3 linked regions of the Canis lupus familiaris genome follow. Each later gene encodes a partner of the first gene's protein in a complex. Links are inferred from orthologs where the notes say so. Each region holds a gene or a part of one and is shown in the gene's direction. Other genes may lie near its edges. The genes, in order: GRB14, HRAS and INSR.

Evidence for each region.
Region 2: the proteins of GRB14 (region 1) and HRAS are in contact, whole or in part, in a crystal structure (PDB 4K81), measured with the Homo sapiens proteins. The link is inferred for Canis lupus familiaris from reciprocal best matches to the Homo sapiens genes GRB14 and HRAS. Residues at the interface, in NP_004481.2 of Homo sapiens: Val109, Lys111, Asp116, Glu117, Thr118, Ser119, Arg120, Ala121, Leu122, Asp123, Lys140, His142; in NP_001123914.1 of Homo sapiens: Glu31, Asp33, Pro34, Ile36, Glu37, Asp38, Ser39, Tyr40, Arg41, Tyr64, Met67.
Region 3: the proteins of GRB14 (region 1) and INSR are in contact, whole or in part, in a crystal structure (PDB 2AUH), measured with the Homo sapiens proteins. The link is inferred for Canis lupus familiaris from reciprocal best matches to the Homo sapiens genes GRB14 and INSR. Residues at the interface, in NP_004481.2 of Homo sapiens: Glu373, Asn374, Ser375, Leu376, Val377, Ala378, Met379, Asp380, Phe381, Ser382, Ser386, Val388, Ile389, Glu394, Val398, Ala399, Glu401, Glu402, Gly403, Leu404, Trp406, Arg407; in NP_000199.2 of Homo sapiens: Leu1065, Arg1066, Ile1069, Glu1070, Lys1112, Arg1116, Arg1163, Met1180, Arg1182, Tyr1190, Lys1192, Gly1193, Gly1194, Lys1195, Gly1196, Leu1197, Leu1198, Pro1199, Val1200, Trp1202, Ser1207, Leu1208, Lys1209, Asp1210, Gly1211, Gln1235, Asn1242, Glu1243, Leu1246.

What each region holds. Positions count from the first base shown.
Region 1 is NC_049257.1:10,012,509-10,019,939, reverse strand, and holds part of GRB14 (growth factor receptor-bound protein 14), read left to right. Parts: intron 1-4,194; coding exon 4,195-4,311; intron 4,312-4,401; coding exon 4,402-4,474; intron 4,475-4,621; coding exon 4,622-4,709; intron 4,710-6,821; coding exon 6,822-6,915; intron 6,916-7,431. UniProt on the Homo sapiens protein: Adapter protein which modulates coupling of cell surface receptor kinases with specific signaling pathways. Binds to, and suppresses signals from, the activated insulin receptor (INSR). Potent inhibitor of insulin-stimulated MAPK3 phosphorylation.
Region 2 is NC_049239.1:25,992,079-25,999,505, reverse strand, and holds HRAS (GTPase HRas), read left to right. Parts: upstream 1-3,567; 5' UTR 3,568-3,622; coding exon 3,623-3,733; intron 3,734-3,911; coding exon 3,912-4,090; intron 4,091-4,213; coding exon 4,214-4,373; intron 4,374-4,460; exon of another isoform or gene 4,461-4,468; coding exon of another isoform or gene 4,469-4,531; exon of another isoform or gene 4,532-5,008; coding exon 5,009-5,128; 3' UTR 5,129-5,441; downstream 5,442-7,427. UniProt on the Homo sapiens protein: Involved in the activation of Ras protein signal transduction. Ras proteins bind GDP/GTP and possess intrinsic GTPase activity.
Region 3 is NC_049241.1:52,555,578-52,563,177, reverse strand, and holds the start of INSR (insulin receptor), read left to right. Parts: upstream 1-2,894; 5' UTR 2,895-2,974; intron 2,975-7,600. UniProt on the Homo sapiens protein: Receptor tyrosine kinase which mediates the pleiotropic actions of insulin.

The sequences.
Region 1 (7,431 bases):
GGAAGAGTAACTTTTCATCTTTGTATCATATTACTTTTAAGCCCTAAAATAAGAAACTAAAGACTGGAAAGAATTTTTATAAAAGCAGTTGCTTTAGGTGAGTATTTTTATAAATTGTCAGCTTACCTTTATCTTTCAATCCACATGTATATAAAGAATAATGGATTTTATTATCTTAATCCTTTTCTAAATCCTTGTAAATTTCTCTTAGAGTCTAATGTTATTAGGATGAGCATGTTAATAGTAGCCATACATTTGGAGGCAGTTGTCTAGAGTCCTCTTAATCATAGGAAAAAAATTGTCATAAACAAAGTACTTTCTAGTCTCATCATATGCATATGAGCATGGTATTATTCTTGCCACTTTCCACTGAAAGTGGTCCTATTGTTGATCGATATCATGGTGTTGGTTAGTGTAACTGCTCGTTCAACACCATGTATAGGGAAAGACACTTGAATGAATCTGGATGGAAGTGGGGATTTTGTAGGGGGCCTGTGTAGTGAGGAGCTGGCTGTCCGGTATAGCAGTTGTCAAGATCAAACAGAACAGCACTTGAGAATTATATCTCCACTCTTCTTAACTTACATGAAGGAAACTGAGATGTTTTGGGAGGTATTTGTGTTTACTTTGATGTCTACACAGAATCCCACCTTTCTAGGTTATCACGGAAGAATCAGTGACCTATATAATGGATGCCAGTGCTCCTCAACTGCCTCTGCTGGTTTTCTTCCAAGCACTATCTTCAGTGAGAATAACTGAGTATACTTTAGTTATATTTTTAAAGGAACAATATTCTTAACTCCTCCAGGGATACATTTTGAGAAGGGAAAGAAGAAAAAAAGTTTTTCCCATACCACATTGCACATCATAGCTAGGTACAGCACATCATGGCCACCCCTATCTGCCTTTGAAATAAGAATCATAAACAGATATTTCAGGAAGCCAAATATCTGGTCCTTTTCAGCACAAAGGAGCGTCTGTTAGGATGGCTGGGATGACTAGAGCATTGGGATGGGGAAAACTAGTCTACTCAAGTCATTATCCTCACTCTTATGCCTGAGCTAGATGTGGAAAACTGCACTTTCTTCCTGTACCTCCTACTCTGTGGTACATAAAAAACCTTAGAGAGGGTCTGCAACTGCTTTTACCGTAAGCTACCTGTGTGACCTTGGTTCAGTCACCAGTGTCCTGCAGTGTAAAACAAGGCGGACAGTTGCTTACGTTCGGGAATTGATTATATCTCTGATGTCCTGTGACTCTGTATGAAGCAGATATCAGGAACTCCTGTGCCCTCTTGCTAAGGACTGTGCTGCAGGCTTATCTACATCTTTCCAATAGGGTGACAGAGAGTGTGTGGCTACTAGTCATCACCTACCTAAACTGCCGGGAAAACATTTTTATGTCCAAAGCTCACTAGGAGTGACTGGATCTGATCTCATAGTGTGGCTTGGATAATCCAAGGTGTAGCCAGACTTCTTCTTTCTTGAAAAAAGAGATGTGTTATTAAAATCATGGACCCTTTTTCAGGGCTTGCCCTGTTTATTCCACCAGAAGAAAGAGCTAGAAAAAGGGACCAATATTTGAGAAATACACTGATCCTGAATGTTATCAACATCACTTTCTTACGTGAAAGAAATTGAGCTGAAAATGACCTTTTGAGTTCAAGTCAGATTCTGCTTCACTTCTATTTCTTTGTCCACCAAAGGTAAACTATTAATTTTTCATCCACCACCTGCTATTCAATAGAAAACATTTGCTATATTCCCGTGTTTTCCCTAGTGTTGTTAATGTAGCAAATGAAAATATTTATTTGTACTGTAGACTCCCTACTAATGTCAAGTAATTAGGGAACACAGGAACTTGTTTTACATTCTATCCTGTTGTAGGAAAACAAAAACAAAAACAACTGGCTATGTTTATTTTTCTTTCCTAACAGTGTTTTTGTGTTATCAGGACCTTGTGATTAGAGCACCCATCTTGGCATGTGAAGTAGAGATATTATAAGGATAAAGCTATCATTATGATTGAGATTAGTTACTCTGTGGTTTGGGCAGGTGGAGGCTTTTCATTAATGTCAGCAAAGCAGAAGTGTACCCGACTGGTCTACAGCCCGGCACAGAAGATCATGGGGTGAGAAGGGCAAACTAAGGTGTGACAGCAGATAGAGATTACAGAGACAGCATCTGTCTGGAAAGAGCAGCTGTCAGTTACAAAGGCTCCTGTAACAAATGAAAGATTGCATGCCGGATCTCTAGAAATAAAGATGAACCGTAATAAGATTGTGGACCACTACAGCAGGGTTTGAAGAGGAAATAGCAAACGCTAACGATGGAGGACGTATGATGCAGTGATAAGTGAGCCCCTGATTTTTTGCATAGACAAGGTTTTCTTTCAAGCATACATTTGGCTACAGGGTTTTAGACCAAGCTAGGAAGGGCTGAAACCACGTGGAGAGCTGTAAAACAGACTTAAGCTGTGAGTCTCCAGGGGCACACTGGCTCTTCCTTTACCATTAGAACTCCATTTTTTGTTTCGCTCCCCTATTAATGAGTAGAGAGTAAGTGTTGAACATTGTCCATGCTGTTTTTGAATTTTTTTTTTTTCCTTTGGGAGAGTGCTAATTCTTACAAACTGAGGCTCTTGACGGGTGATTTGAAAATGTTTTCTTTTTTTAGGATGCATGACTGGGAATGGCACTCTTTTTTAAAAGATGCTTGCAAAGCAGAGCCCTAAACAAAAAAATAAAGTCTAGGTTTGGATATATTCACCTTCAGAGAAGACAAAAAGTAATGGCAGAGGGAAGACTGTATTACCTGTCTAAATTATCTTTGGTGATGTCAGTTCTTTTTCTATCAGATTTATTTTTGTAGCTCTCAGTTTGTCTTTTTTTTTTTTTTTTAAGATTGTACTTATTTATTCATGAGAGACACAGAAAGAGAGAGAGAGAGTTAGAGAGGTAGAGACACAGGCAGAGGGAGAAGCAGGCTCCATGCAGGGAACCTGACGTGGGACTGGATCCCAGGTCTCCAGGATCATGCCCTGGGCTGAAGGTGGCGCTAAACCGCTGAGCCACCCAGGCTGCCCAGCTCTCAGTTTTTCCATGTGTGTCCTCACAAGATGAAAAAAATACTCAGATATTAGATCATAGAATTTTTAATATTATGGAATTAGCAGAGCCATTATTTCACTAAATTTTCTTTTTTTTTAAAGATTTATTTCTGCAAGAGAGAGAATGCATACATGCGCATATGTGCATGAGCTGGGGAGTGCCAGGGGGGAATCTCAAGCAGGCCCACCCCCCCTCCGTGGATTGTGGAGCCCCCACACAGGGCTTCATTTCACAAACCTGACTTCATGACTTGAGCTGAAATCAAGAGTCGGAGCTCAGCTGACTGAGCCACCCAGGCACCCATAAATTTTATTTTCTAAGTAAGATGAACATTGATGTGATACAGTTTTAAAATACATACTGTAGTTTGTTCCATTATGAAATATGAATACTATTTCTTTCTCAAGAAGTGATGTAAGTCAATCTGTTAAAGCTTTTGTCTGTCTTGAGTCTTAGGAAACAGCTGCTTCATCAGTAAATAGAGTTGACATTTTTTAAAAATTGTATTTATTTATTTGAGAGAGAGAGATAAAGAGTAAGAGAGCATGAGTGGGGGCAAGGGAGAGGGAGAAGCAGACTCCCCGCTGAGCAAGAACCTGACATGGGGCTCCATCCCAGGACCTGAGCAGAAGGCAGATGCTTAACCAATTGAGCCACCCAGGTGCCCCCACAGTTGACATTTGAATGATAATGGATGAATCGCAAATCATAGTAGAGACTAGTTCAGAAGTGGTGGGTCTTTTAGCCACAGGAAGAGTTATTTCTTTCTAAATTGGCGTGTTCCCATTTTACTAGAGAATATGAAAAGATAGGGTTCTTCTAAGAGAAAGACATGCTAACTTTGAAAGCTTTTAGTCTCTTTTCTCAACCACTTAATTCAGCCTTGACAAATAACTATGTAACTTATTTAACCAAAATATTTCATAGCACCTTTTTTATCTTAAATATGCACTTTTGATTTTTTAAATTTCCTGCCAGCCACCTTTGGAATCACACATTCTATAGTGGAAATGTATTGCCAGCAGAATACTAAGAGATAATTTTCAAAGATATTTTCATGGTAAAAAATGTGGTTTTTTTTCCAGAGAAGTATATCAGAGAATTCTCTCGTAGCAATGGACTTCTCAGGACAGAAAAGCAGAGTTATAGAAAATCCCACAGAAGCCCTTTCAGTTGCTGTTGAAGAAGGACTCGCTTGGAGGGTACAAATAGCTTCACATTCTTCAAAATATTTATGATTTGAGTCTGTCTCACCCCAAAAATTGAAATTTGCTTCCCCTTTCTTTGTGCAGAAAAAAGGATGTTTACGCCTGGCCACCCACGGTAGCCCAACTGCCTCTTCCCAGAGCTCTGCCACAAACATGGGTATGTCTCTGCCTGTTCACGGGGACTGGATGTCTGGATGGATGGGCACTTTGGTATGGTGACTGGGTGGCTCTGGTGGAAAGTATATGTAATGAAATTGTGAGCATTTCAAACAGAGTTCTGTATTCCTCCACTTTATTTCCTCAGCCATCCACCGGTCCCAGCCATGGTTTCACCACAAAATTTCTAGAGAAGAAGCTCAGCGATTGATTATTCAGCAAGGACTTGTGGATGGGTAAGTTTGATTTTGAATGGTAGTGATTTTGAGTTCTTTTAGAATCAGTAATTACTTAGTTAATACACATAGTTTTGACTTTAGCTTATGATAACGGAAGTGACTTTGTTCTGTATGGGAGCTTACCATTGTATCCTAGCAATACCTACATAATACCTATTACATCCCGTGTGCTTAGTAGTTGTGCATAAATGAACAGATAACTGAATAGGACACTCTGCTGTTAACCAAAAATCACTAATATTGCCCATTCTGTGCCAATAGTAGTATCTCAGCTAAAACTGAACTTGTTTTGAGGTATCCACATTTTGATTTGAACATGGGATTCCAAAGTGTAGTTTGTGTCATGGCATAATCTTACATGTTCTGTATAGTTTTAAGTTTGATACAGACTGCATTCAGTTTAAAACTTTTATGTATATTTTGACTGCTTGTTTTTTTTCTCTCTTACATTCCTATGTTATCTAAATTTTAACAGCTTAAAGTAGTGTAACTATGAAGAGTACTTGAGTCATCTTTTAGTGGGGTACCATCGGAGATATAAGAGAAATGTCAATTGTATTATGAAATATTTACAATCTAAAGAATTTTCTTTTTCTCCAGTTACTCAGTATTTCAAATACTTTCTATAATACTGGCTAAATTCCCTTTTCAAATGCAGTACAAATCAAGGAGGTTGTATTGAGGTTTGGATGAGAAATGAAACCAGCATCAATTTAAACAAGTGGTGATGGGATCTTTTATCTTCAAGGGTTGGCTTAAGATGATGACAAGATTTCAAGGTGATTTAATACTGACATTTGGATAAAAATGCATCTTCACATGGAAGATTATTAATAGCAAGTCAGCATTTCACTAGACTCTAAATAAGAGAAGATTTTAATATACTCTATGTGGAGCACAGTCTTTTTAGATATAAATTTGAACAATCAGCAGAATTACAATCTGATGAGACCAAGAAAAATAAATCACAAAGAATCGTTAAAATGTTTTGGAGGATTATAATCTCCCTACTCTCAGAGCCTGGTTTTTATAAATTGAATAAAATAATTGCATAAAGGATGGTAACATCTTTATTTTTTTTAATATTTTAATAAAAAATTTGAGGAGGGGGACAGGATCCTTTGGAAAGATGTGATGATGCCAGGCAGTCCACTAGATGGTGGTGGTGATCCGCTCGGGAGTGGGGAGGGAATTACAGCTTGTCTTACCAGTGAAACTCCCTTTTGTCCCATCTCCCAGTGATGTAATGTAGGAATCTCACATGGTACAAATGAAATGGATAATCTCATCAGACATCTGTGATGGCTCAAATTCGGCTGCCTCTTTGCCCAGGCACAGTGAGATTAGTATTGGAGCCACCAGGGGGGATCGTTTGCACAATCTGTTTGCCAACAATTAACACAAAGCTGGTTTTGCACTCTATTGCCAGTAAATAAGAATCCACGCCTGGTAGCATTTTTCCCTTAGGCCATCAGGCCATGTCTTATTTTGCTAGCCTGACATTATAGGGGGTTTTCTGCTGCATTCTTCAAGATTAAAATATATATTGTTTGGGGGTTTCTTTTACTTAAAATAGTGTACTCAAACATTTAATAGGTGATCAGGATTGATTTTGTTGAATATATTCATTTCTCAGTTTCTGTTGGATATGTAACAGGAACCAGAATCAAAAGAAAAAGGAGGATCAGTGTTGAAGAGGGAATTTTCTCTTTTCAAGGACTAACATAACCCAGAAGTTAAAGTAATGATATGCTCATGCCCCCCATTCTCTGCAGAAATGTGTTACATGTGAATACCCAATTCATCAATGGAAAAAAAAAATAGCACTAATTATTGATGTCAGCATAGCATTATATTTCCTTATTCTGAGCGAACAGTCTGACAAATGGGCTGTGTATTTATTTTATTAAAATTTAATTAGCACTGATGACAGTTGTATAAGATTATGTTATACCATATTGTTTACCATGTTGGACAATCCCATCATTGAACACACAATAAAGGGAAACTGTGGCTAAATATTTCCTGGATTTATTACATGCTATATTTTTTTCTGAAATACATGAGTAAATATAGAAACATATATTGAAATTCCTTCTCTCTCTTTAGAGTTTTCTTGGTACGGGATAGTCAGAGTAACCCCAAAACTTTCGTACTGTCAATGAGTCATGGACAAAAAATAAAGCATTTTCAAATTATACCAGTAAGTAATTTGTGATTTCACATTCGTGTATTAGAGATGATCTTAATGCATAAGCTTTGGGAAACTTTGGTTTTCTTTGGATCTTTTATTAAATATAACTGGGGTGATTGTGCTTTGACTAGACTTAAGTTTGGCAGAAACGGTTTTATGAGCCTGAATTAATATAAGAAATACAGGAATTGTAAAAATTCAATTTCCCTTTTTCCATGAAATATGATTTACCAATATTGTATAGACCCCATGCCACCTATTGTTAAAAGGCCACTAAAGATTCTTTCTGAATTCTACTACCAGTTCTTTAAAAACCATTATTTTCAAACGCTGTCTTTTTTTTTTAACAAATGACCTAAAATATTCAGTGAGAGACAATTTTTTTTAAAGATTTTATTTATGTATTTGAAAGAGAATGAGCAAGTGAGAGAGCAAGCACGAGCAGAGGGAGAAGCTGAGCAAGAAGCCTGTCGCTGGGCTGGATCCCAGGACTCTGGGATCACAACCCGAGCCAAAGTCAGATGT
Region 2 (7,427 bases), on another chromosome or scaffold:
GTGGGCAGCATGAAGGGCCAAGCCCGCCGCCCTTTCCTTCTGTGCCTCACAGCAGCCGACCAGCGGTCCTACCCTGGACTGGGCCCAGCGGACGGTCCCATCCGGCCCCAAAAGTCTCGGGTCCAAGGAGCAGGGCCTGGGTCGCTGGCTGCAGCTTGCACGTGCACTGTCCCCTCACGTGCATGCACTGGCTGGACCTGTCCATGCTGCGCGGGGCCCTGCGGCCACCCTGCCTGCCACTCGGGTGGCCTCTCTGCCTCCGTGGCCCAGGCTAATGCCAGCCCTTGGCCTGGCTCAGCAGCAATCTGGGTCCACTCCACGCCTCCCCCCTTCGCTGCAGAGGGAGGGGCGCTGCGGGCAGGGCCTAGTCTCTCCTAGGTCCCCACTAAGGGAGTCTGGGTCGCCACCTCCTCCTCTCCTGCAGGGGCAGAGCCTGGGGTCCCTCCTACCCTGGGGCCTGGGAACTCTTCGGAGCCCGGCTACCGGTCGTGGGCTGAGCCCCTGGAGACCAGATTGGACATCTGGGGGTACCGCTGAGCCCCCACTGGCTTTGCTGCTTCATCCTGGAGCAGCCATCGGCCTCAGTTTCCCCCCAGGCACGGGGGAGGTGCAGCGAGGCCTGAGGCCCCAGGCCCAAAGGTGTGCTGGGCTCTCACCAAAGGGGTCGGTCTCGGTGCCACGGGCCGGGCGCCCTCCGCCGCGGGGCGCGCCTTCCGACTCGGGGTCGTTCTTCCGGTGGCGGGGTTGCGGCCCTGGGCGCCATGGCAACGGGGCCGGGGCATTATTTGAATGCTCAAATATTCATGAGCCCGCGGGACTCTCCGAGGCTCCGCGGTCGAGCCACGCCCCTTAGCAACGGCTGCTAGGGCAGGCCGGGGGCGGGGCGACCGCGGGCGCATTCGGGGCCCGGAGGGTAGGGCCCCACGTCGTGGGCTCCCGTGGGCTGGGAGGGAGCCGGGGCGGAGGTGAGGCCCCACCGGGCGGGGTACCAGCGCGGACCGGCCGGGTGTCAGCGCCCGCGAAGGCGGTTATCAGGCGGAGCCCAGCGCCCACCTTTCCCGGCCCTGGCCCTGCGGGAGGGACCCCCTCCTCTAAGGGTGGCGATGCCAAAACAAAAGGAAAGCGCCCCCGAAGACGAGGGAAATGCAGACCTGGACACCGGGAGGGGTTTGGGGTGTCCGCGCTCTCGGGGGACGCCGCCACTCGCTTTCACTGCCGCTCCTTGACTCCGCGTCTGTGCGCGTCAGCGGGCGCCGGGCTCTGTCCTAGCCACCGCGCAGTGCACGGGCCGGCCAACCGGCCACGGCCTCGGCACGTGCTGTAGGCGATGTGTGCGGGCGGGGCAGCCCCCCCCCCCCCGAGGGGCCCGCCAAGGTCACGGCCTGCAGTGGGAGGGGCTCCACGAGAACAGCGCGCGCCGGCACCGGAGGGGGCAGGACGGGAGGGCGGGCAGGGCCGCCAGAGCGGGGCCAGCCTGGGCCTCCTGCGGGCTGCACCGTTCTTCCTTTTTGTAAACAAGCACGGTGTGTTGATGCACTACTTTGAAATTTAAAATAAAATGTCGAAACCACGTCTTTTTTGAAAGTCTGGAAAAGATGCGGGGTGTGCGTGTTCGCGCTCCGGATGGGGGAGCCGTCGGCACGCAGCCCTCGGGCAGCTTTCGGGCTGGTTTGCAGAGGGCCCATCGTTAACTGGGCCCCGCGCAAGCGTCTGCAGGGCCGGAGCCTCCGGGCTAGGGGGCTGGGCGGGCCGGCCTGCAGGGGGAGGCTGAGGAGAGGGGCGAGGCTGCGGCCCAGCGAGACCCCTGGGGCGGGATCAAACGATGCTCCGCGCCGCGCTGCCCCTTGTGGCCTGGGCGCCCCGGGTGCCGCGCGCACGACGAAGCCGAGGTGCCAGGCGCCCGTTCCGGAGCCACCTGATGGGAACGGGGGTGTAGGGCACCGAGCCCCGGCCATGAGGCCCCAGAGCTCGGGGCGCGGCCCGGCCTGCCCCGGCGCCCGCCTCCCGTCCCGGCCGTCCGCCCGGCGCGCCGACCCTGACCCTCCTCGAGCCTCGTCTCCCGGCCTGACCCCTCCGCTGGGCCTCGCGGCGCAGGGAGCCCCCCACCGCGGGACACGGGCTCCCGCCGGTCTGCAGCGCCCCCGCCCCGGTGCACCGCCGCCCGCGGTCCTGTCGGGCAGCTCCCCGCGGAGGCCGCCGCCCCGGCCCGCGCCTCTCGCGCTCCCGCCGAGCGCCCGCGGGCGCAGCCCAGCCCCCCCAGGCCGCGGCCCACGAGGGCCTCCGGGGCCGGGCACCGCCCTCCGCGCCGCTTCCCGGAAGCCCCGCCCGGCCGCGGCCCGTGACGGGCGGGCGGGCCGGCCAACCGGCGCGGGGCGGGGCGGGCCGGGGCGGGGCGGGGGCGTGGCCCGACGGCCGCGGCCAATGGCGAGCCGCGCCTGCGTGACGGACGGGCGCGGGGCGGGGCGTGCGCGCCCTCCCCCCCGAGTGTCCGCCCGCCCGCGCCCGCAGCCCGCAGCCCGAGCCGCACCCTCCGCGGACGGAGCCCATGCGCTGGGCGAGCCGCGCGCCCCGGCCCCGGCCCCCTTCCCCGCCCCCGCCCCGGCCCCGGCCCCGGCCCCGGGGGCAGTCGCGCCAGTGAGCGGTGAGTGCGGCGGGGGCGGCGGGCGGCGGGGCGGGGCGGGGGCGGCCGGGGCTGCGGCGCCGGGCGGTGGAGGCGGCGGCGGCGGCGGGGCGCGCGGGGGCGCAGGTGAGCCGCGGGCGGGCGCTGCGGCGGGTGCGGGGTGCGAGGTGCGGGGTGCGGGGGCGCCCCGGGCGGCGGCGTCCGCGCCCTCTCCTCCGCGGGCCGCGTGCGGGGCCCCCAGGTCGCCAGGCGCGCCCCCGAGGCCCGGGCGGCGGGCGGCCTCCGCGATGCACAGCGGGCGAGCCGGGCGTTCGCACCGGAGCCCCGGGCACCGCGTCCCGAAACCTCCCAGACCGGGAGCCGGGCCGGAGGCCGCGGCCCAGCGCCGTCCCCGCGCCTACCCCGCCGGCCTGCTCCCGGGGCCGCCATCCCCGCAGCCCGCCGCTGCTCTCCTGCGAAGCTCGAGCGGCCGCGGGCCTGGGGCTCCCCCCGGGACAGGAGGGCCCGGGCCTCGCCCCCGGAGCAGCAGCTGGCGGCCGCGGGCGCTCCGCAGATGCTAGTCCGGTGCAGCGAGGCGCGGCGGGGCTCTGGCCTGCCCGGGCACGCTGCTGCACTCCGCTGTGGCAGGACCTGTTTCTGCGGGGAGGGGCGGTAATCTCAGCCTGCAGGGCCTCCGGGTCCCTCCAGTGCACGCTTTCTGCCTACCCAGCAACTTCTAATTTGGGTGCGTGGTTGGGAGATGCTCTCAGCTGTCAGCTCTCCCTGCTCTCTCGCAGCCATGAGCGCCGGCGAGGTGCCTACCCCCCCCCCCCCGCCGCCCCCCCCGCTGGAGGTGCCACAGGTGGGCGGCTGCGCCCGGTTCCCTGGTTGTGTGGGGCCTGGGGACCGGGTCGGGGCCGGGGTGGTCTGCCCCACGGGGCTGGCTCAGGGCTGAGAGCAGCTTCCTCAGCAGGTGGGACAGGAGACCTCGTTGGCGTCCTGTGCTGCGTCCCGTGAGGAGCCATGACGGAGTATAAGCTGGTGGTGGTGGGCGCTGGAGGCGTGGGCAAGAGCGCCCTGACCATCCAGCTCATCCAGAACCACTTCGTGGATGAGTACGACCCCACCATCGAGGTGAGCTCGCCCAGCCCTGAGCCTGCTGTGGGCATGTCTGCTGTGGGCTCCGCAGGAGGGCGGCCCCTGCTCGTGGGACCTGGGGGTGGCACCTGGGGACCTAGGAGGGGCTGGTGGCTGGGTGGCCCCGTCCTCGGAGGTGTGGGGCTGGGCGTTCTGAAGCACTGGCCTGCCGCAGGACTCCTATCGGAAGCAAGTGGTCATCGACGGGGAGACGTGCCTGCTGGACATCCTGGACACAGCGGGCCAGGAGGAGTACAGCGCCATGCGGGACCAGTACATGCGCACGGGGGAGGGCTTTCTCTGTGTATTTGCCATCAACAACACCAAGTCCTTTGAGGACATCCACCAGTACAGGTGAGCCTCCGGCCGGCCCTCAGAGCCACCTGTTCCTCTGCCTCTCATCGCGTTTCTCTGTCAGGGTCTCGGATGCAGCCGTGCCTGCAGCCTACCGACTGGCTCCCACCTTCCTTCTTGTAGGGAGCAGATCAAGCGAGTGAAGGACTCTGACGACGTGCCCATGGTGCTGGTGGGGAACAAGTGTGACCTGGCTGCTCGCACCGTGGAGTCCCGGCAGGCGCAGGACCTCGCCCGCAGCTACGGCATCCCCTACATCGAGACGTCAGCCAAGACGCGCCAGGTGAGCCGGCTCCCCACCCCGCAGCTAGCTGGGGACCCGCCCCGCCCCGCCCCTGCCAGGGAGCAGTGCTTATTGCCCCCTCTCCCCCGACACAGGGCAGCCGGTCTGGCTCTGGCTCCAGCTCCGGGACCCTCTGGGACCCTCCGGGACCCCCGTGACCCAGCGGCCCCTAGCGCTGTAAGTGTCCCCGGACGGCAGGGCAGCGAGGGAGGCCGGGGCCCAGGGTTTGGGCTGACACAGCTCCAGGGAGAGGCAGAGGTCCCCAGAGAGAGCTGCCCTGAGCCAGGCCGAGTGGTGACCCTGGGGCCCTGGCCCCTGCCCGCAGAAAGCCCCATGGGCCCGTGTAGGCCCTGCCCTCTTTAATGGGCTGTGGGGGACCAGGGTGGTAGGTCAGACAGGAGCGGGACCCTGGATGTTAGAGCTGGGAGCCAGACCTCGGGGCTGCCCTGTGGGGGAGCTCCTGAGGGCCAAGCCGCCTGATGGGGGGAGCCCTGGGGCTGCCTGTGTGGGGGCGGGGTGGGGAGAGGCCAGGGGGAGCTGGGATGATGCATGAGCTTGACGCTGGGGTCCCTCGGTCCCCTGCGCTGCCAGGCCCCCGGGCCGAGCCGCACGCTCAGCCAGCCCCGTCTTCCCAGGGCGTGGAGGATGCCTTCTACACGCTGGTGCGAGAGATTCGACAGCACAAGGTGCGCAAGCTGAGCCCGCCCGACGAGGGAGGCCCAGGCTGCATGAGCTGCAAGTGCCTGCTGTCCTGACGTCCCCTCCAGGGCCACGTTGGCAGCCCCGCTGGTCCTCTGTGCCCCAGGCGCACAGGCTCGGGGCGAGGAGGTGCCGGAAGCTGGGAGGAGGCGCGGAAGGAGGAAGGAGGAGGGCGAGGAAGGAAGGAAGCGCCCCCGGGGCCCGGCCAGCCCAGGCCCCCTGGACAGGGGGAGCACGGACCTCCCAGGGCGCTTTGCACAGACTGTCGTGAACTGAGGCCACGGGCCCCCCCGGCTGTCACTCTCCCCCAGTCCCGTCCTTGCCCGCGGGGCAAAGGCTGAGTCGCAGTAAATTATTTGATGGTCTTGACCCTGGCGTATGGCCGCACCTGCAAGGCACGTGGGGACGTCAGCTGTGTGTGCCTGGCGGCGCCCCTGCAGGGGCTGGTCGGGGCCGGGAGGTCCCCCCTCCTCCTCTCTGGGGGTGTCTCCACACCCCGTGCACAGAGCTCCGGGAGACGCAGAAACGAGCCGGCCGTGCATTTTCACACAACACCTTATTGAACTTGCAACAGCAAACGGGCTCAGAGCCGAGGGTGTGCGCCTTCCCCTGGGAGACCTTCCTGTCCTTAGAGGAAAGCGGGAATCCCACGGGGGTACGGGTGCTGGAGTCGCCCACTTTGGAGCCTGTGCGGACTCCGGGTGGGGGTGTGTGTCCTGAGGTTGGGGTGTTGAGAGGCGGTTCTGGGGACAGCAGAGCTGGCCTGGACCTGCGGCCCATGGGCTCCTGCTCTAGGTCCCCGCAGGGCAGCTGGACCCCGGCCTCGGGCCCACTGGGGCCGGGTGACTGACTGCTGGAGCCCCAGCACGTGGAGGAGCCTGCCTCCTGGTGTGGGTGCGGGTGGGGCCCACGGGCCTGCCCCTGCTGCCCTGCCCTGGGGTGTCCCGGGATCCCCAGGGCTGCCCTAGGTCAGTGACCTGGATCTGTGGGGCACGCCCAGGGCCCAGGAGGCCACATCCGGCTCTGAGAGGGCTCGCTCAGCCCGGGGCCAGAACGCAGGCCTGGCCAGGGCCCCGGAGCACTGGATCCCATTAGTGCTGGGCCTGGGGGGCAGTTCTCGAGTCGCCCCTGCCCCCACAGAGCCTGGGGCCAGGCCAGCCCAGGTCCCTCTGGGTCAGGGGTTGGTGTCCTGTGCGGGGGGTGCCGCCCTCCGGGAGGGACAGCAAGATGAGGCAGGGCACGGTGACGGCGGGCCAGAGCCTCTGGGCCCCCGCACTCACCACCACGCTCTGCCCGCGAGCATTGAGCTGCCCTGTGGACGCAGAGGGCAGAGGGTCCCGGGCCTGTGCGGGGCCTCGGGGCAGCGGGCTCAGCGCCGCCCTGGCTCTGCCCTGGCTGTGCCCGTCACTGCCCAGCGAGAGGCATGAGCTGCAGTGGCCGCGGGGCAGGAAGGGTGTCCTGGGCCCGACAGCGTCGTCCCTAGGGGGCTGGGGGGACCCCGTGATGGGAGTCCCGGGGGTGCTCCAGGGCCTGGTCCGTCGCGGGGCCTCTGGGGTGGCCCAGGCAGGTGCCGAAGGGAAGGGGACCCCGTTTTTTGTCTTCAAGCCCACCGTGTCCGGGGGCCACCTGCCCGCACCGTCTTGTTACACTGGGAGGGTGGGGAGGGAGTTCCATCGCTGGGGGGGAAGTTGGACGATGGCCTGGCTGGGAGGGGGTCCGGGCGGCTCAGGCTGGGTGGCTGGGCCCGGGGAGGCCTGCTCCTCCACCCTGGGCGGTGGCTCAGAGGCCGGAGAAGGGAGGAGAGGCCTGGGCGCCGGGGACACTCGCTTCAGGCCGAGGGGCCTCGTGGGGAACTCCAGGTCCCGCTGGAAAGAGGCTGACGGGGTCAGCGTCTCCAGCAGGCTATGTGTTCCCCGCTGGGGGCCCCGGGGGTCCTCAGCTCCCTTGTGGCCCCCCCGCCTGACCCTGTGCTCAGCCCCCCACACTGGTGCCCGGGCCCTGCAGTGGGTGCCTGCCCGCCCAGCCCTAGCCTGGAGTCCCCAAGGCTAGAGCAGAAGAGGAGAGCCCCAGAGATGAGGACGGGGGCTCTGTCCCCTTTGGGTGGCCCCAGCAGGCCGAGTCGGGAGGGGCCGGGGCCCTGAGCCCACCTGGGTGGGGGCAGGTCGCACCGCATCCTCCGGAGCTGGGTCATGGAGGCCCGAAGGTGTCTGAGCACCGCCTCGTCCTCCAGGGCCCAGGGCTGGGCCGGAGAGTCCTGGAGGAACTCCCGGAGCCCTTCCAGGGGCAGCTTCAGGAGGCTCTCTGGGCAGTGGGTGAGAGTCAGACCCAGAAGGCCCTGCCCTGGGGCCCCTAGTG
Region 3 (7,600 bases), on another chromosome or scaffold:
TTATTATGAGCAAGTATCTTGCAGAGAGATACTTGGAGACCGTGGAAATATTTGCTTCTTAAAAGTCCAACCGTTAGTTTTGGCATGCACAGAGGGTTCTCGCCCGAATCAATCAGTCAGAGATTGCCAAATGGTGGTGTCTCTGCTTCTGTTCCAATGATTTTAATAAAAGGCAAGGGTTGACTTTCAATTTTTAGATGGCTGTTTTTTTGGAGGGCTTGGAGGGTTTTGCGAAAGAAACAGTGAGTGGTTTCAGGAAGTGGTGGTGTCTTCATTTTCAGGTCACAACTGAAATGATCAGTCGAAATGATTCTTTCGACTTAGGTCCAGCACGCAAGTCCTTGTCCTGAAGGATTTCCAGAGGACAGCGTGTTTCCTTCCGCGTGGTTTTCAGCACACGCTTCCTGCCTGGGAATGTGGTGATTTTGGGGGCTCCCACGGGTCAGAGGGAAGCCCACAGCTCTGGACAGGTTTGCACAAGAAGGAAGGGGAACAACATTTATTGAACCTACAATTCTTGATACTCTGGGACTGCAGCTACTCTGTGTTCTCTCTGGGTCTATGTTTGCCCCATCGCAGATATTATTGGAAAGAAAATCAAATTATGTCAGCCCTTTTGTGTACACCTTCTAGTAGCTTCCCATTGCTTTTAGGATGAAGGTGTTTTGGGAGAGGGCTTAACATGATCTATCCAAGGCTCTTCCCCCTTCTAATTCTGCCTTTGAGTCCACCTTTGCTTGCTTGACCTCCCTCTAGGCTCCAGCTCCAGTGCCTGGGTCAGTTGGGGGAACACCTGCCTGTCCACCTCTGGGCCCCTGCTCATGCTGGGCTCCCAGCCTGTAACACTTCCCTCCTGTCTTCCTTGGCTGACTCCTCCTCATCTCCAGATTTCAGCTTCAACTCACCTCCTTGGGAGGATCCTTTCCCTACGCCCCACCCCCACCCCACATTAGGCCCCAGGATTGTTTAATCAAGGATCCCCTCTCTCGCCAGACTGTGAGGTCTACAGGGAAACTGAGTGTGTTTATTTTGCTCACTGTAAATCCTCATTACTTATTATTGCATGTTGGTTCTTCCATTCAACAAATATTTATTAAGCAACAGATATATCAGGCGCTGGGTGTAAAATAGTGAAGAATTTCTGCTTCATGGAGTGGGGAGACCATACACAAAAAACCCAAAGAATTTCAGGACAAACTAGAGTGATGTAAATAACAGGGACCAGAACAAAGGGATGGGGGGGGGGGGGAGGCGGCGTTTGCAAAGTGTGATCAGGGAAGGCTCACTGGGGCACCGAGGGGCAGCCAGCCACTGGAGGGACAGGCGGAGGGAACAGCCAGAGTGAAAGCCAGGAGGCAGGATTAGGTTTGGTGCCTTAGAGGAACAGTGGGCTCAGCTCCTGGCTAACTAATATTTGCGTAATGGACCAGGGGGAAGAATGAGCGCCCTCTGCCTAGAATTGTGCCGGGCGCTTTCTTATGCTTTATTGCTCTTGCACCTCGTCAAATCGGACCGGCAGGGATTGTTACAGGCATTATAGAGCCGAGGCCAACCCAGCCAGAGAGTAAAGTCCCACGTCCAAGGCCACACAGGAAGTGAGGGGAGGGGGAGCCAGATTCCACTCGGTGCTGGCTTTCTATACCTAAGGCTCCTTCCCCCAGCTCAGGAAGGTGGCTTGGCTGCTATGGTGCCCTATTCGTGAATGACACTTGCTGGACATTCAGACACACACAGGGACTGTGGGTCTGTGTGTTGAAAACGGGGTGTGTCCACCTGCGCTGGAACCCGGCTCCGTGGGGCCTGGTTCGCTCTTCTGCGAGGTTCTGCACGTTGTCCCAGGTGTCTCTTCTCCGACTTGCACCCCAGGCCGCGCCTGAGGCCCCCCTCCCTCGCCCCTGCCACGGAGCACACGGAGCGCCCTGGGCGCGCGTGCACGTGGCCGTCCGCAGGGCCCCGGGCGCGGGGCGGGGGCGCCCTCGCGTCTAGTCCGAGACGCGCTGGCAGGACTGGGACGAGGGTGACGCGAGTGCAACATTTACGGGAGTACCAGAAACCCCAGGGACCAAGATAAACAGCGTTTTAATGAAATCTTAAAAAAAAAAAAAAAAAATCAAACCGAACCTCCCAAAGTCCACAAGGGAAACGAAATAGCGAAAAATGTTACGGAAGGGATCCGTCCGGATGGGTCGGCATCGGGGGCGCCCCCGAGGCCCGAGACGCCGGGGCGCGGGGCGCGGGGGGCGGGGTGCGGGCGCCTCCAGCGCGGGGGGCCCAGGCGAGGGCGGCGGGCGGGGCGGCGCCTCCCCGCGGCCGTCCTGCCTCCCCCTCCCGGGCCTCTCCCGGGCCTCTCCCGGGCGCCGAGTCCCTTCCGAGTCTCGATCCGCGCCGCCTTTTCCCGCGACCCGCGCGGGGCCCAGCTGACGGGCCGCGTTGTTTACGGGCCGAGCAGCCCTCGCTCCCGCCGCCCGCCCGCCGCTCGCCAGCCCAGGTGCCCGCCCGTCCGCGCGTCTGTCCGTCCGCGCGTCCGTCTGTCTCGGCGTCCGCAGATCGCGGCCCAGCGCGCTCGGGGCGGAGAGCCGGGCGGCCGGGGCGCAGCGAGGGGCTCCGGGCCCTGAGATCGCGGGACGGGCCCCGGGCCGCAGGGGTCCGGGTCGGGGCCGCCGCCGCCGCCGCCGCCGCCGCCGCCGCCGCCGCCGCCGCCGCCGCGGGATCTGCAGCGGCCGAGGCCCCGCGCCCCTCGGGGGCCGAGTGGGGGCCCTCCCGGGCGGGGCCGCGGGCGCGGAGAGGAGGGCGCGCGCCCCGCGCCGCAGAGCATGACCCCCGCGGGCCGGCGCCGCGCGCTCTGAGCCGCCGGGACCCCGCGCTCCCGCAGCCATGGGCGCCCGGGCCGGGCGGGGGGCGGCCGCCGCGCCGCTGCTGCTGGCGGTGGCCGCGCTGCTGCTGGGTGCCGCGGGCCACCTGTACCCCGGAGAGGGTGAGTCCGGGGGCCCCGGAGGGCGGCGGGCGGGCGCGTGGGGGGCCACCGGGGACCCCGCGCCCTCCCCGGCGCGTGTGGGGGCGCGGGCGGCCGCGGCGGGAAGCCGCTGACCTTGGCCTTTGCCCGCCTGGGCTCGCGGTTCTGCGCCCCGCGTGCGGGCCCCGGCCCCGAGGAACCTTGCCCCAGTGCCCGCCCCGCCGCGGGCGCCCCTCCCGACGCGCCTCGCACCCGTGCCCGGCCCTCTCCAAGCCCCGCTCGCCCGGGAGACGCGACCCGGGTGCCCGCTGGGTCCCCGGGTCCGGGCGACCTGGGGGCACCGCATGCCGCGGGCGCACGGGGTCCCTCGGGGTCTCTGCGGATGGGCGCCCCAGGCGGGGCACTGCAGAATCCCACCCCTCTGCTTGGACCTAGGCCGGTGGCTACCCGGACTTCAGATCCATGTTTACACTTTTGGGTTCTGTTTCCAGATGTCCGGAGGCAAACTCTAGCGCCTTGGCAACAGGGCCTTTGTTGTAGCAGAAGGGGGCGGGGGGGGGGGTGTTGTCTTTATTATGATTATTATAGTTAGGGTCACCGAATGCCCCGGACTGATCTCTCTGGACCTTCACAGTGGCCTCCGGAGGTCCATACGCGTTACCCATTTCATAGAGGAGTAAATTGAGGCTGAGGTTAGGAGACGGTTCGATTTGCCCTAAAGTCAGGGCCAGAGGGAGGACTCTAACCTCTCTGTGTGGTGCCCTGGGGAGGCTCTGGACTGCTGCATGTCCTATGTCTCCCCATAACCCCCACACCCCCCCCTCCAGCTCTGCCTTTCACAAGGGCTCTTTTACCTGCCAGTCCAGGGAGGTCTCTAACCTCAGGAGAGGCTCTCACACCCCCTAGCCCCATGGACTTCCCTCCCCAGCCTCCCTGCGCTGGCAGCAGATGGAGGCAAACCCCAACTCCAGCATCGGCCTTGGGCTTGGTAGCCGTCCTTTCTGCTTGTGGGGCAAGAAATGAAGAACCTTTAAGAGAACATGGCTGGAGTTCCCCACTGGTGTTTGAGGCCCCACTTTAAAAATATCTGTTGGGTTACTTTTTCAGAATTGTCCATAAAAGGAAATCAGTCATGGTGAGGAAGGGGTCGGGGAGGGAAGGAAAGCAGCTCCTGAGCTCCCTGATGGGGAATGAGGTCCCTGGCAAAGCACGCACAGGCTCTGGCGTTGACAATCCAGGTTTGCGGAGCTCCTCTCTCAGTTACACCACGGTTCCGAGGCCCAAGTGCTTGGTATACAGCGGGCGCTCAATAAAGGTGGCAGTCGGCTTGAGTTCTTGTTAAGAAACTCCAGACAAATGTTAGGACTAGTCTAGGATTTGTGTATGTATGTATGTGCGTGCGTCTGCACACGTGCATGTGTGTGTGTGGTTCCCTGCTCTTCTGTTCCTTGTAGCTTTGGTAATTTATTGTGGACTTGTGCCTGGGCTTGCAGGGCCCAGGAGGTGGATTTACCGCTTCTTTACATGTTCACAGTTTCCACAGGGGTAGAGGCATATACTTCTTTTGTCCACTGCGATGTTTCCAGAGCCTAGAACAGTGCCTGGCACATAGAAGGTGTTTGGTTAAAATATTTGTTCTTGGTTCAGCTCATATTCTTCGTGTTCTCACCAGTACTCCAAGCTATGGCTTTTTCATTCCTCGGGTAATACCCAACTTAGACATAGTCATAAGAGCAAGCTCTTGGCGGGGGCTTTTCCATGTGCTCCGAATATATAATCTTAGTTAATCCCCACCATGGCCTTGTGGGGTGGGGTTTATTATCATTTTTCCCAGGTGAGGCAGTTTGACTAGGCGGCAGAGCTGCTGAGGACCCTACTTGGCCTGATTTCTTCATAAAAGGTGGCTCTCTTGGGTTTGAGCTTCCCTCCCACCGACCTGTGGTAATGGTTAACAAAATCCTATTGAATAAATGAGATGTGATGCCCCTCAGAGGTTCGGAAACCTCGAGAAACTTTACAGATCATTAATCTCTAATGTCAGCCTGTAGGGCGTTTTGGTTGGGGTGGTGGCGGTGTGATGTTTAAGAAGTGAAGGACTTTCTTAGGGGGGGATGTCCTATGGGATGTGCTACTTTGGCCCGCTCTCCTGTGGAGTCCCTACTGCTCTGCTGAAATGGGTAGTGTCTCCCCCCTCTGTTTCTCCTCGGACTGGCTGGCAGTGGCCTGAGATTACTTGGGGGCATTGCAAAGTTAAAGGATGAAGGCAATGTGGGATTAATTAAAAGAAAAACCTGCGGGGCTTCGGGGGGAGTCCAGCGAGTTGGCTAATTAAGGTGAGAGAGGCTCGCTTCCAGAGCGCCCTGGTTTCTCGGGCACTCCTCATTTCACAAGGGTGGCCTCGGATGTCTCTCTTGTGTGTCCTCTTGTGTGCTTTGGGGGCCCTCGGAGCAGGACTTTTGCCTACTTCCTAACCTCCCTGAGGTTATTCTTAACTTTTGCTTCCCTCCTGGAGCCCTGCCCGCCATCCTTGTCCCACTCACTCATGGAGGTCATTGGGGTGGGGCTCCCTGGGGTCCCCACTGCAGCCCACTCCGTCAGTGACTCAACCTGGATAGAGTAGATCCTCTCAACTTCATCGCTCTTAATATTTGGGTTGAGACAGTTCCCGGTTGTGGGGGGGCTGGCTGTCCTGTGTATTGTGAGGAGTGGAGCCGCATCCCTGGCTTCTCCACCCACAAAATGCCAGTAGCACGTCCCTCCCTCCAGTCATGACAATCAAGAGTGTCTCTGGGCATTGCCAGCCGCCCCAGTTGAGAACAGCCACATTCAGGAAGATAACTTTTTCTTTGTCTAGGACACTTACCCACCTGGGTCCCTGCTCTCTTTGTTCCAGGATCAATACCCCGCCCCTCGACCCCCGGCCCACCACCCGCCTCCAGCCTTCCCCTGCCAAGCCTCCCCGGTGGGCTCTAACCACCCTCCCTCTCACCTCTGGCCCACTGTGCTGCCCGCAGCATCTGGCTAATGTCTCCATCGCTTTGCTTTGCCCATGGCTCTTGTGAAGGTAATCCCTCACCTCCCAAGTGCGTCTCCTGTCGCCTCACCCCAGCTGACCTCTCGGGGCCTGCCACTGTCCACTCCCTCCCCTCGGGGAGGGCAGGAAGGCACGGTTTCCTGCAGAGTTTTCACCTGCACCTGGCTCTCTCTCCATCCTCTCTGCTCCCTTCCCTGGGCTCAGATGTTAGCTCTTTCTTCCTAGAGGGCCAATCCCTACTGCCATCCACTCTCAGCCCAGTTGTGAATTTACGTAGTCAGACTCCTTCATCTAGAACAGGGGCTATCAAACTGTGGCCCACAGGCCAACTCCCGCCTGCCCACACCTGGTTTTGTGAATAAAGTTTTATTGGCATCATCTTAACAGTTGCTTTTGTGCCCTAATGGCAGAGTTGAGTAGTTGCAATTGCATGGCCCATAGAAATGTGTATATCTTGGCCCTTCTCGGGGAGAGTTTTGGGACTCCTGATTTATGACAGACTCTTTGAGGATCATGATGACATGCCTAATCGCTTGCGTGGCCCCTGGTATGACATGAGTGCATCACGAATGCTTGGGGATGCTGTGGCGTGTTCCCCTTTACAGAGACATGTACGCTCTCTGAACATATGGGTTCCAACGGGGAGAAAATACCATGATGTCCCCTCCTTAGCTGTGTCTATGGTATCAAGATTTATTTATTTGCACAGTCATCTTGGCGTTGAATGAGGATCCCTCGCTGTCGGCTTTGTGTCTAGAACTCAAAAGAAAGTGGTGTCTGCTGTGCGATTTTCTTTCAAGACCCCTGGTGTTACTTTCTATTAAGAGTACATACATTAGGGGCGCCTGGGTGGTTCAGTCCATTAAGCTTCTGCCCTCGGTTCAGGTCATGATCCCACTGTCCTGGGATTGAGCTCCGCTTCTGCTCTGCGGGGAGCCTGCTTCTCCCTCTCCCTCTGCCTGCTGTTCTGCCTGCCTGTGCTCTCTCCCTATTAAATAAATAAAGTCCTAAAAAAGAATACATCCGTGAGGGGCGCCTAGGTGGCTCAGTCAGTTGAGGGTCAGACTCTTGATTTGCTCAGAGCATCATCTCAGGGTCGTGAGATCGAGCCTCGGTGCGGGCTCCCTGCTCAGCGGGTAGTCTGCTTGAGATTCTTTCCTTCTCCCCCTGCCCCCCTCCTCGCTGCATATGCATATCTGCTCTCTCTCTCTCTCTCTCTAAAATAAATAAATCTTCTAAAAAAAAAAAAGAATACATATGTTGGCTTATGTTTTGCAACGGGACCCTATTTATGGGTTTTTAATTAAAATAACAAGTAATGCATGCTCATTGCAAAAAAATTTACAAAAACCTGGAGAGGAAAAAATCAAAGTCCCCCTGCAACACTTTGTCCCTAAAATCATGCCATTTCTCTCCTGGGAAGTGACTGTGCTTTTGTTTGCATCTTAAAAATTGCGTGTGTGTGTGTGCGCGCGCACAGTTATGTGAATTTTAACCTTCTTTTTTAAAAAATGTATTTATTCATGAGAGACACACAGAGAGAGGCAGAGACACAGGCAGAGGGAGAAGCAGGTTCCCTGCAGGGAGCCCGATGTGGGACTCGATCCTGGGTC